2 linked regions of the Drosophila melanogaster genome follow. The protein of the gene in region 2 interacts with the protein of the main gene of each other region in a pairwise test. Each region holds a gene or a part of one and is shown on either strand. Other genes may lie near its edges. The genes, in order: CG14053 and ND-20.

Evidence for each region.
Region 1: the proteins of ND-20 (region 2) and CG14053 interact in a two-hybrid assay, tested with the Drosophila melanogaster proteins (one large-scale study listed by BioGRID).

The regions. Positions count from the first base shown.
Region 1 is NC_004354.4:2,190,971-2,195,870, reverse strand, and holds CG14053 (uncharacterized protein), read left to right. Parts: upstream 1-1,961; 5' UTR 1,962-2,393; intron 2,394-2,811; exon of another isoform or gene 2,812-2,898; 5' UTR 2,899-2,900; coding exon 2,901-3,593; 3' UTR 3,594-4,232; downstream 4,233-4,900.
Region 2 is NC_004354.4:15,984,793-15,988,552, forward strand, and holds ND-20 (NADH dehydrogenase (ubiquinone) 20 kDa subunit), read right to left. Parts: upstream 2,017-3,760; 5' UTR 1,946-2,016; exon of another isoform or gene 1,892-1,945; 5' UTR 1,885-1,891; coding exon 1,219-1,884; 3' UTR 681-1,218; downstream 1-680. Other genes in the region: Slc25A46a (solute carrier family 25 member 46a), read left to right, coding at 1-573; eIF5 (eukaryotic translation initiation factor 5), read right to left, coding at 2,493-3,197, 3,276-3,752.

The sequences.
Region 1 (4,900 bases), about 14 Mb from region 2:
AATTAATTCACTTTGCTCGGCACTAAATGAATTTCAGCGTTTGCGGTCACGGATTTGTAATTATTGCGGCCTTGGGCTTACTTTGTGCTCACTTCCCATTCGGAATCTCATGCCCACAACCTCTCATCAATCACCTCCAGCTAACCAGGCTATTGAACCTGGCCAGGGAAAGATACTGACCCACTAACCGGATTCTACGGCTTGGGAAATTAATGACAATTAATTTTATTATTAATAAAATTTTATTAACGTGCTCTAAATTGATCCTGTGGACTTCTGCAGGAAACTAACTTCTCGCCATACACTGCTGTATCAACTTGAACTTGACGAGCAGATTAAATTCGAAGAATTTAGTTTCACTGTTTGATATCCCCACTTCACCCGGGATCACGATCAATCTTTCCCAACGATCTTGTCCACACAGTCGTAAACGCAAGTCTCGCATTTAGTCAACATCAATATCAGGGAGCTATCAATATCGATCACGGCCACCTGGCGAGCGATAAAGGAGGTGGGGAGCAATGAATGCACTTCTGTTCTTTTTCTCCCACGTTCTGGGTCTGCAGGCGCGCCAAGTGAGAAAGAGAAATCCGAAAAAGCCGAAAGTATAGAAACGATCTGTTTAAAAATAGTTTCGACGAAATGCATGCATTCTCGGCATTTGAATGGCTTTCCGACTCCAGGCGATGGCGCTTCGCTTCTGGAGGATTGGATCGGTGTGATTATCGGAGATCGGTGATCCGATCGGATGTACAAGATCACACATATTTAAGAGTCTGGTCGCTAGCCCAGCGATAGTTACAATCACCTTATCTGATCCAGGCGACTTACCTTTCGCCTGTTATTTGGTAATTAACTTGTTGCTGCCTGCACTCTTTGGCTTTTTTCCCTTCGATTGCTTCACTTTACTGCCGCAGTGTGCGAATTTACGACTTTGTTGACAGTTTGTGTTCTTCGCGTTACAATTGCAGTTGTCCAATCGTCGAGATTACGGATTGAACGGGGCGTCGAGTGTTCAATAAAACTGAATGAATGCGATTTCGATCGCGTCGCACTTTGACTGCGGTGCTTGACGTACAGCGTCCTTAGCAACTGGCCACACTCGATATGTCCTTGCGGTGAATGCACACTCGGTCACACTGAACGGCAATAATGGTGCTTCTAACACTGACTCCCGGCTTTGCTTTCCCTTTCCCGATGGCTTCACTGGCTTCCAAATCGCGGGAGCGAGTATTACTTTTTGGCGAGACGCAACCGATGTCGCTGTCAGCAGGGCAGGCGACGAATTAAATTAAATGCGAGCCGTGTAAGAGCAGAACGCCGAGCGCCGAGCAGCCGAAGAAGGAACGGCAGCAAAGACAAGCAAACAGCGAAGCACTCTCCTCTCCAGGCCTCTCGCACTGCTCCCTCGCTCCTTATCAGTGGTCAGCCCCAAAGAGCGCGCATGGAGAACTCTGGGCAGGAGTGGGAGCGGGAGAGGGAGAGCGCCGCCAAGTGATCGGACCCAATCTGCTGTGAATTATAGGCACCTTATCAGTTTATAATATTTCGTACATGTTTCGTGCTTCCAATTGTGTTGTCTGCATGCAAATAACACGGCACTTTCGGGCGGCAGCGGGGGGCCTCGGGGGTGGTCTCGATTGCTTACGCCTTTCTGGCTTAGTGTTAAATATTAATTAACAAATTTGCTCGAGTTGAACTGTGCGTAAATCGAAATCACAACGGCCATAAAAAGCGAATACAGCCTGTTTAGACCCACACTGAGCACTATTATACTCTATTCCAAGTCGAACCCCACTTCTTATTTCCTTTTTGCTTAGAAATGAATTTATTTTACAGTGCACACGGATAAACAGTTATTTCCATCGCCTGCATTTCGAATTTTATCCGCTGCAGAAGATTGCAGCACAGTATGGCAAACCCTATTACTTTTTATGTTTTCAAAACATTTTTTTTGTTTTTACCTATTCAAATTCTGCAATATTCATCCAGTCAGCCCATCATTTTTGTATTTCCCCTGCAATCGCAATCGAACTTTGCCCATGCAGCCTTACTGCAGCTCAAATTACAAATCGATTAGGCTCGCGTGCCATCCAAGCTGCAGCCAAAAGAAGTGCATTATCAAGGTCGGCGATGAGACGGCGAGTTCCCCGCGGGCCACAGCGAATGTCTGATGCTCTACACGGGCTTGGTGGAACGGTACATACAGCTCGGCCTCGTGAGGAGTCACGCAGTCAGCGAGCATGGGAAGTCAGACTTGACCGCGCTTCGCACTGATCGCATAATTTGCTGTACAAATAGTGATTTCTAATGCTAAAAATACACACCAGACCCAAGACCAGGCTGACCAGGCTGACTAGACTGGGCCTTCGGTCACAGGTAGGCCATCCCAGGTGAGTTGGTCGACCAACCCGTGATCCTATATACACGCCCGTCGGCTCCTGCCCTCCCAAACCCTTTCCCGCTCCGCGTTTATGGTTGTCGTAATGCGACAATATTGATAGCCGATTATGCCAGGCCATTGATAACGCCCTCGCTGGGAGGGGTGATTGCGGGAGGGGGACCGGGAACGGGAATGGTGGTGGGAATCAATTCCGCATAGTTCGTCCGAGGGTGGTCATGCCACGCCCCATTTCTAGTTGATAAGATAGTGGAGTCCAGGCCGGATGAAATGGAGCGCTGCTGCAGGCTTGACTTGCCGCAAGGAGCGAATTGGCGCCGCAGCAGGAACTGGAACAGGAACCTATGTACATATATACCCGGTTGCCAAGTGTCAGGCGCCTCAAGCTCCATGTTCATTCAAGCAAGCATATTTCACACACTACGGAAGCCCGGAATATATTTCCTTCTATCCGTAAAACTAAAAAAAAAAAACTAAAAAAAGTATATATTTTCTAGTAATGGACATCTCCCAATCGGACGACCTATACGAATGCGGAGTGGAGAGGGAAAGGGAGACTGTCCATCAGTCATCGCGCACCGTGAGAGATCCCCTTCAGGTGTTCCATTGGATAGCGTCTTTGGATGTGGCCCAGCTGGAGGACGAGACACCGCCCCCCAGTTTCTACTTCGATTTGCTGGAGACAAATGACGTCGAACTGGACTGCAGTGTTTACAGCGGAAAGCTTCTTGTAACGCTCGGTAGTCAGACAGATGTGTCGCAGCCAGAAGTTTCGCAGGAGTATGCAGACAACGCACTGGCGGTGGAACCAACAGATCTGAAAATATCAATACCTGAAGATGCGACAGCATGCCCATGTCATGCCGCATCTGATGATGAAGTATCAATTACAATATTTGTAGAAAGCGAAACTGAACCGGAACCACGTGGGAACTCCGAGCATCAACCAAGTCGCTTTTCGTTTTTTGGCATGTTGCTAAAGGCGGTCGTGGCACTGTCCGTGGTGAACGCCCTTTATGTTCTGTGGACGATCGGCTTTGAGGCCTTCAAGAACCGCGTATGGCAGTCATCTTCTGTGAATATGCCACCGCCTCGGACTACATCGATCAGGGAGACGCGTGCTTCGCTGCCCGAGAGCATTTGGCGAAGTGTTGAAGCTAAATTGGCTAGCCTGCGAGCCCGCTTGAACTAAGTCCGCTCCTGGCTGTCGGACTTTGTTAGTTTCAGCTTGGTTATTTATAAACCCATCCCGCTATTTTTACGCCTATGGCACCAGTTGCTGTTCCAGTCGATTCCTTCGCCGTCGACGACCACTGTTTGCTGTTGTTCTCGTTGCCGGCGGCGTTAGAGATTACGAGTAACACGGACTGCCCGAAAATACGGATTTCTGTTGTTGTGTACCCGGGACAACAACAACTATCCGGCCCAGCGATAAGCGTCGGAATCAACACGAATCTCGGTCAATAGCTCACCGATCCATAGCCAAATAAACGCCAAGCTGAGTCTCCAGTTCAAATCGAAATTTCTCGCTCTCCCTTGTGCCCTGCCTAAAATATTCCATGGCGCTGGTTATGCTACACCACCTAATCCGCGCATCCGTGGGACAATGATCCCGAATCGCCTTATCGGAACCAAGCACCTTTCGCCCATTGTCGCCTAATAGGTGCATTCACTCGCCTCCTCCCCAGGCGAAACGGAACTCGATCCCGACTAGCGTCATCTCTCTGGGCACTGCTACTATCTGATCACACCTGGCAATTGCTGGGGTCGTCGTGAAAGGCATTTAGTTCTTAACTAACCAAAAAAGCTCTTTTATGTATGACTCGAAACGATCTCTTTTTAGATATTTAACAATTACATAAAATCCAATAGTTTGAAAATTTGGATACGAATTCATTCAATTAGTTTTATTTGTATGGCAAAAATGTTTTTTTTTTGTCGAAAAATTGGGAAAGAAAACCTGTCCAAGAATGTCTAGTGCTTTAAGGGAATTCTGGCATAACTCGGCCAAAAACGGCCAAAAATCAATTATAATTACTGTTTTGTGAAGCTAATGGCCAAAGCCAACGATCCTTATCACTTTTTAAATGGTTTTGGGAAAAAAAATTTTTTTGCCAATTTTCGGATTTTTTTAGAAGGGGTAACATCATTAAAATTTGCGAAAAATGTTCAAAAATTAAAAATCGAAAATTTAAATGCTAATCGATTGGAAATTTAATTACGACTTCACAGAGGTATGGCATTCCGTGTTCGGTCCATAATTTCGTTTGTTTTGAACAAAATACTGAGTTTTTATGGCGGAAAATCTGAATTAAATTGAATTACCTAACTAGCAGGTGGGTCTCATCCAACTGATAGCCATCTCCGTGCATTTGTATAGCCTTCGTAGGCAAATTACGGTCTGGCCTCTTGCCTAGTACCAACTATTGATTTAATTGCAGCCGACGGCCAAGGAAGCGCGGACGTCAACGTCAACCGGGGCGAAAAGTCGGAAAATGA
Region 2 (3,760 bases):
ACCAAGTATCTGTTTAATCTCGTGATACGGGGCGTGTCCTCACGCATAATGCGGCTTCGTATAAAGAATTCCCAGGACGGCCAGGGTGGAAAGTATCAGGACACCACGCTGGAACAACAGAATGCGGACATCTATGCCAGCCTTATTGCTATCATAACCACTGAGGTCATGTTCTTCCCGTTCGAAACGATTCTACACCGTCTGCAATTGCAGGGAACACGAACTATAATCGACAACCTCGACAATGGCTACGATGTCGTACCCATTCTAACAAACTATCAAGGAGTCGTCGATTGCTATCAGACAACGATTGTCTCCGAGGGAGTTAGTGGCCTCTACAAGGGCTTTGGAGCCATGATCCTGCAGTTTGCGGCACACGTGGCCGTCATCAAATTGACCAAATGGGTTGTGAATCAAATCGTAGAGGTCATCTCCAACCGACCACCACAGCGAATAGTGAATTACTATAATCTGGATGAGAATGCTTGCAACTCCAGGTCCACGACCTTGTCGCCAAGCCTTTCCAGTACCGAAATGGGGGAGATTAGTCTTGGGCAGAATTCACAAGACTAGTTAATGGCTAGTCAAATTATATTGCATATGTAAATTATACAAATATTTATTTCTTTTTGTATTTTTCGTTGGGTTTATTGGGACGTTAGCATGAATAATTGTATTTTAAGGGTTTGCTTACTCTGCAGTTGCGTTAAAAAAAAATCTGCCAATTAAAAAATATAACTATTTTAAACACTTTAAACTGAGCTTATATTCTTGCACTTTGTGTCCCGAAAACGTCAGGACCTTGAAATGAATACAGAAAAATTAAGTAAAAACAGCAGATTGTCCTGTGGTTGGTGCGATCGTTTCTATGACAACTAAATGATATGGTTGTGTATACAATTCACGATAAAAAAAAGAGGAAGGAGCCGTTAACTTCACGCTCATTTTGAAGGGAAACAAAACTTTTTTCGAATTCACGATTTTCATTACGACCGTTGGCAAACACACGTACGATTCAAGCTGACGTTTGGATACAGAAGCACAGCTTGAATGTTTGTATTTATATCGAAAGGCATTTATTTGCAATATCCTCGTGATCCAACAAACAATGTATACAACAACTGAACGTTAACAGAACGATATTTAATATGATTTCTGTTCGCAAAATCGTATGTCGTTTGATGTTTCACATTTTAAATATAAGTTCCGATCGTTGCCTTACTTCCTATACCACATCTGGAGCGTCTTCATCCGCTTAACCTTCTTCTGCAGCTGCAAAACGCCGTACATGAGCGCCTCGGCGGTTGGCGGACAACCGGGTACGTATATGTCGACGGGGATTATCCTATCGCAGCCACGGACGACGGAGTACGAGTAATGGTAGTAGCCGCCGCCGTTGGCACAGCTGCCCATGGAGATGACCCAACGTGGCTCGGGCATTTGGTCGTAGACCTTTCGCAGGGCCGGTGCCATTTTGTTGGTCAGCGTGCCAGCGACGATGATGACATCGGCCTGACGTGGAGATGCACGGAACACAACACCATATCGATCCATGTCGTAACGCGGAGCAGCGATGTGCATCATTTCGACGGCACAGCAGGCCAAACCGAAAGTCAGTGGCCAGATCGAGCCCTTGCGACCCCAGTTGAGCAGATCGTCCAGTCTGGCCAGTGACCACTCCGCAACGGAGGACTGTTTGGTGCCGAACGGAGAGTAGCCCTTCTTGGGCAGATTTTGGGCCACTTCGGCAACTGGAAGCGTTTGTTGTTGGCGCACCAGGGCCAAATTCAGAGCGGGCAGCGCCGAAATCGACGCATTCGGTGTCTGAGTCGCCTTTTGGAGAGCCCGGGACAGGGTCGATGACATCATCGCCGAACGCAGCATGTTGATCCTGCTAAAGTAAATCTGTAGTTATACTAGGACTGGGCATTTAAACATTTAATACCTATTTATGTAACTTCAACTTATTTCGATTTATAGGGGATGCGTATGATGTGACCGCCGCCGAACTACTAACTAAAATACCAAATGCACCAGGAAAATATACTATAAAATACGAATTTACTTTAGATATCCTATTCTCACACAAGCACATCACTTGCGGCAGCATGAACTTTATGCCCTTTTCCCACATGAACGCAATGGTTGGCTAAAAAAATCAACTTGCTTGAAGGTCATAGCTTAAGCTGACCAAAAGGCAAGTAAAAAAGTAGTTATTAATGTTTTTGTTTGCTTTATTTTGTAATATGTTGGTGTAATTCTATTGTTACAGCGGCTTGGGAAATGTTATGCAAACAATTGAATGGTAGTAAAGCGACGACTCAAAATACGATTAGCACTCTTAAGAACTAAAGATAAAAAAAACCACATGTTGATTTAACTCGCTAATTTATATTTCAGTTTGAATTGTAGATTATGCTTGCTCGCTTGATTTTCCCCCTTTTAAAATATTACTGGTTGGATTAGGGTAGCTGTTCTCTTTTTGATTCCTTTTAGATATCGTCGATGTTCACGTCGTCCTCGTCATCCTCGTCGCCTGCAACAGCGCGTGGAATTCCGCGTTGGACGACCCGTTGACCGCCACGTTGGCCGGCACTGGAAACGTAGTTATCCTCCTCGGATTCATCGTCCTCCTCCTCCTCACTTTCGGAGGACTCTTCCTCGGCATTCTTCAGCCAGAGAACGAATGGCATAGCTTTCTCGTGTATTTCGGCAGCAATATTTTTCGAGACATGTCGTTTGCTAACCTTCTGTGCCCACTCCAGTATGACGGCCTCATCGAGTATGTCCAGATCATAAAACAATTTGAAGATTCCAGCAACCTTGCTCATCAATATACCCTTATGCAGCTCTACAGTTTGCTCCACTCCACCAATTAGATAGCGCTGTGCTTTTGGATTATTGAGGGTGAAGCGAAGAAGCAAAGGGCGATTCTTCTGCACGTCCTTGATGATGTTTTCAGTGAAAAGCAGCTCGGCGAGAACCAATGGAGCCTTGTTAATAATATCCAAGCGTTCGGCTTCAATCACCAGCTCCTTGTGAGTTTGCACATCATCCAATTGCTTCTTGTCCCGCTTGTCCTTAACCAACTCGTAGAAAATATCAATGCGCTCCTTTTCAGTTTTATCATAGTCATCCGAAATAGTCATACCCTTAGCACCATCAGTCAGATCTTGCAAACGAGCACGAATAGCCTCCTACCGGGGTGGAGTAGTAATATACATATGAATAGCTCTTTAAGCTAATTGCGAGTATATACGGATTAAACAACGTACCTTCGAAACATCGACACTCCATCCCTCATCGTCGTCATCCTTGGCTGTTTTCTCCGGAATAGCTGCGCTAATCTCGGCCTCAGTTTGGCTAGCCTGATTTGTGCCGTTGCCGCCATCTGATTCACCGCCAGAGTTGTTGGCCAAAGAGTTATTGGTCATGGAGCCATCGGCGTTATCGTTCTTCTGCTTCTGTTTCCTCGAGCGTTTGCCCTCGGTTAGCGATGATCCTTGGGCGGCCGGATTCAATGACGGGGGGTTCTTCACAATGAATGTGTTCACTTTATGGTTAACCTTGAGCAGACCATGGAAGCCGCATGCCTTGCAAGACTGCGAAATGGTCTGGTTTTTGGCCGACACAGTTAAATTGGTCTCCGGATTGTCGCACTCGGGGCATAACACAAACTTGCGAATAAAACCATCCAACAAATCCTGCAACTTGTTCACATCATGCGATCCATTCACAACAAAGCGCTCATTCTGAATGA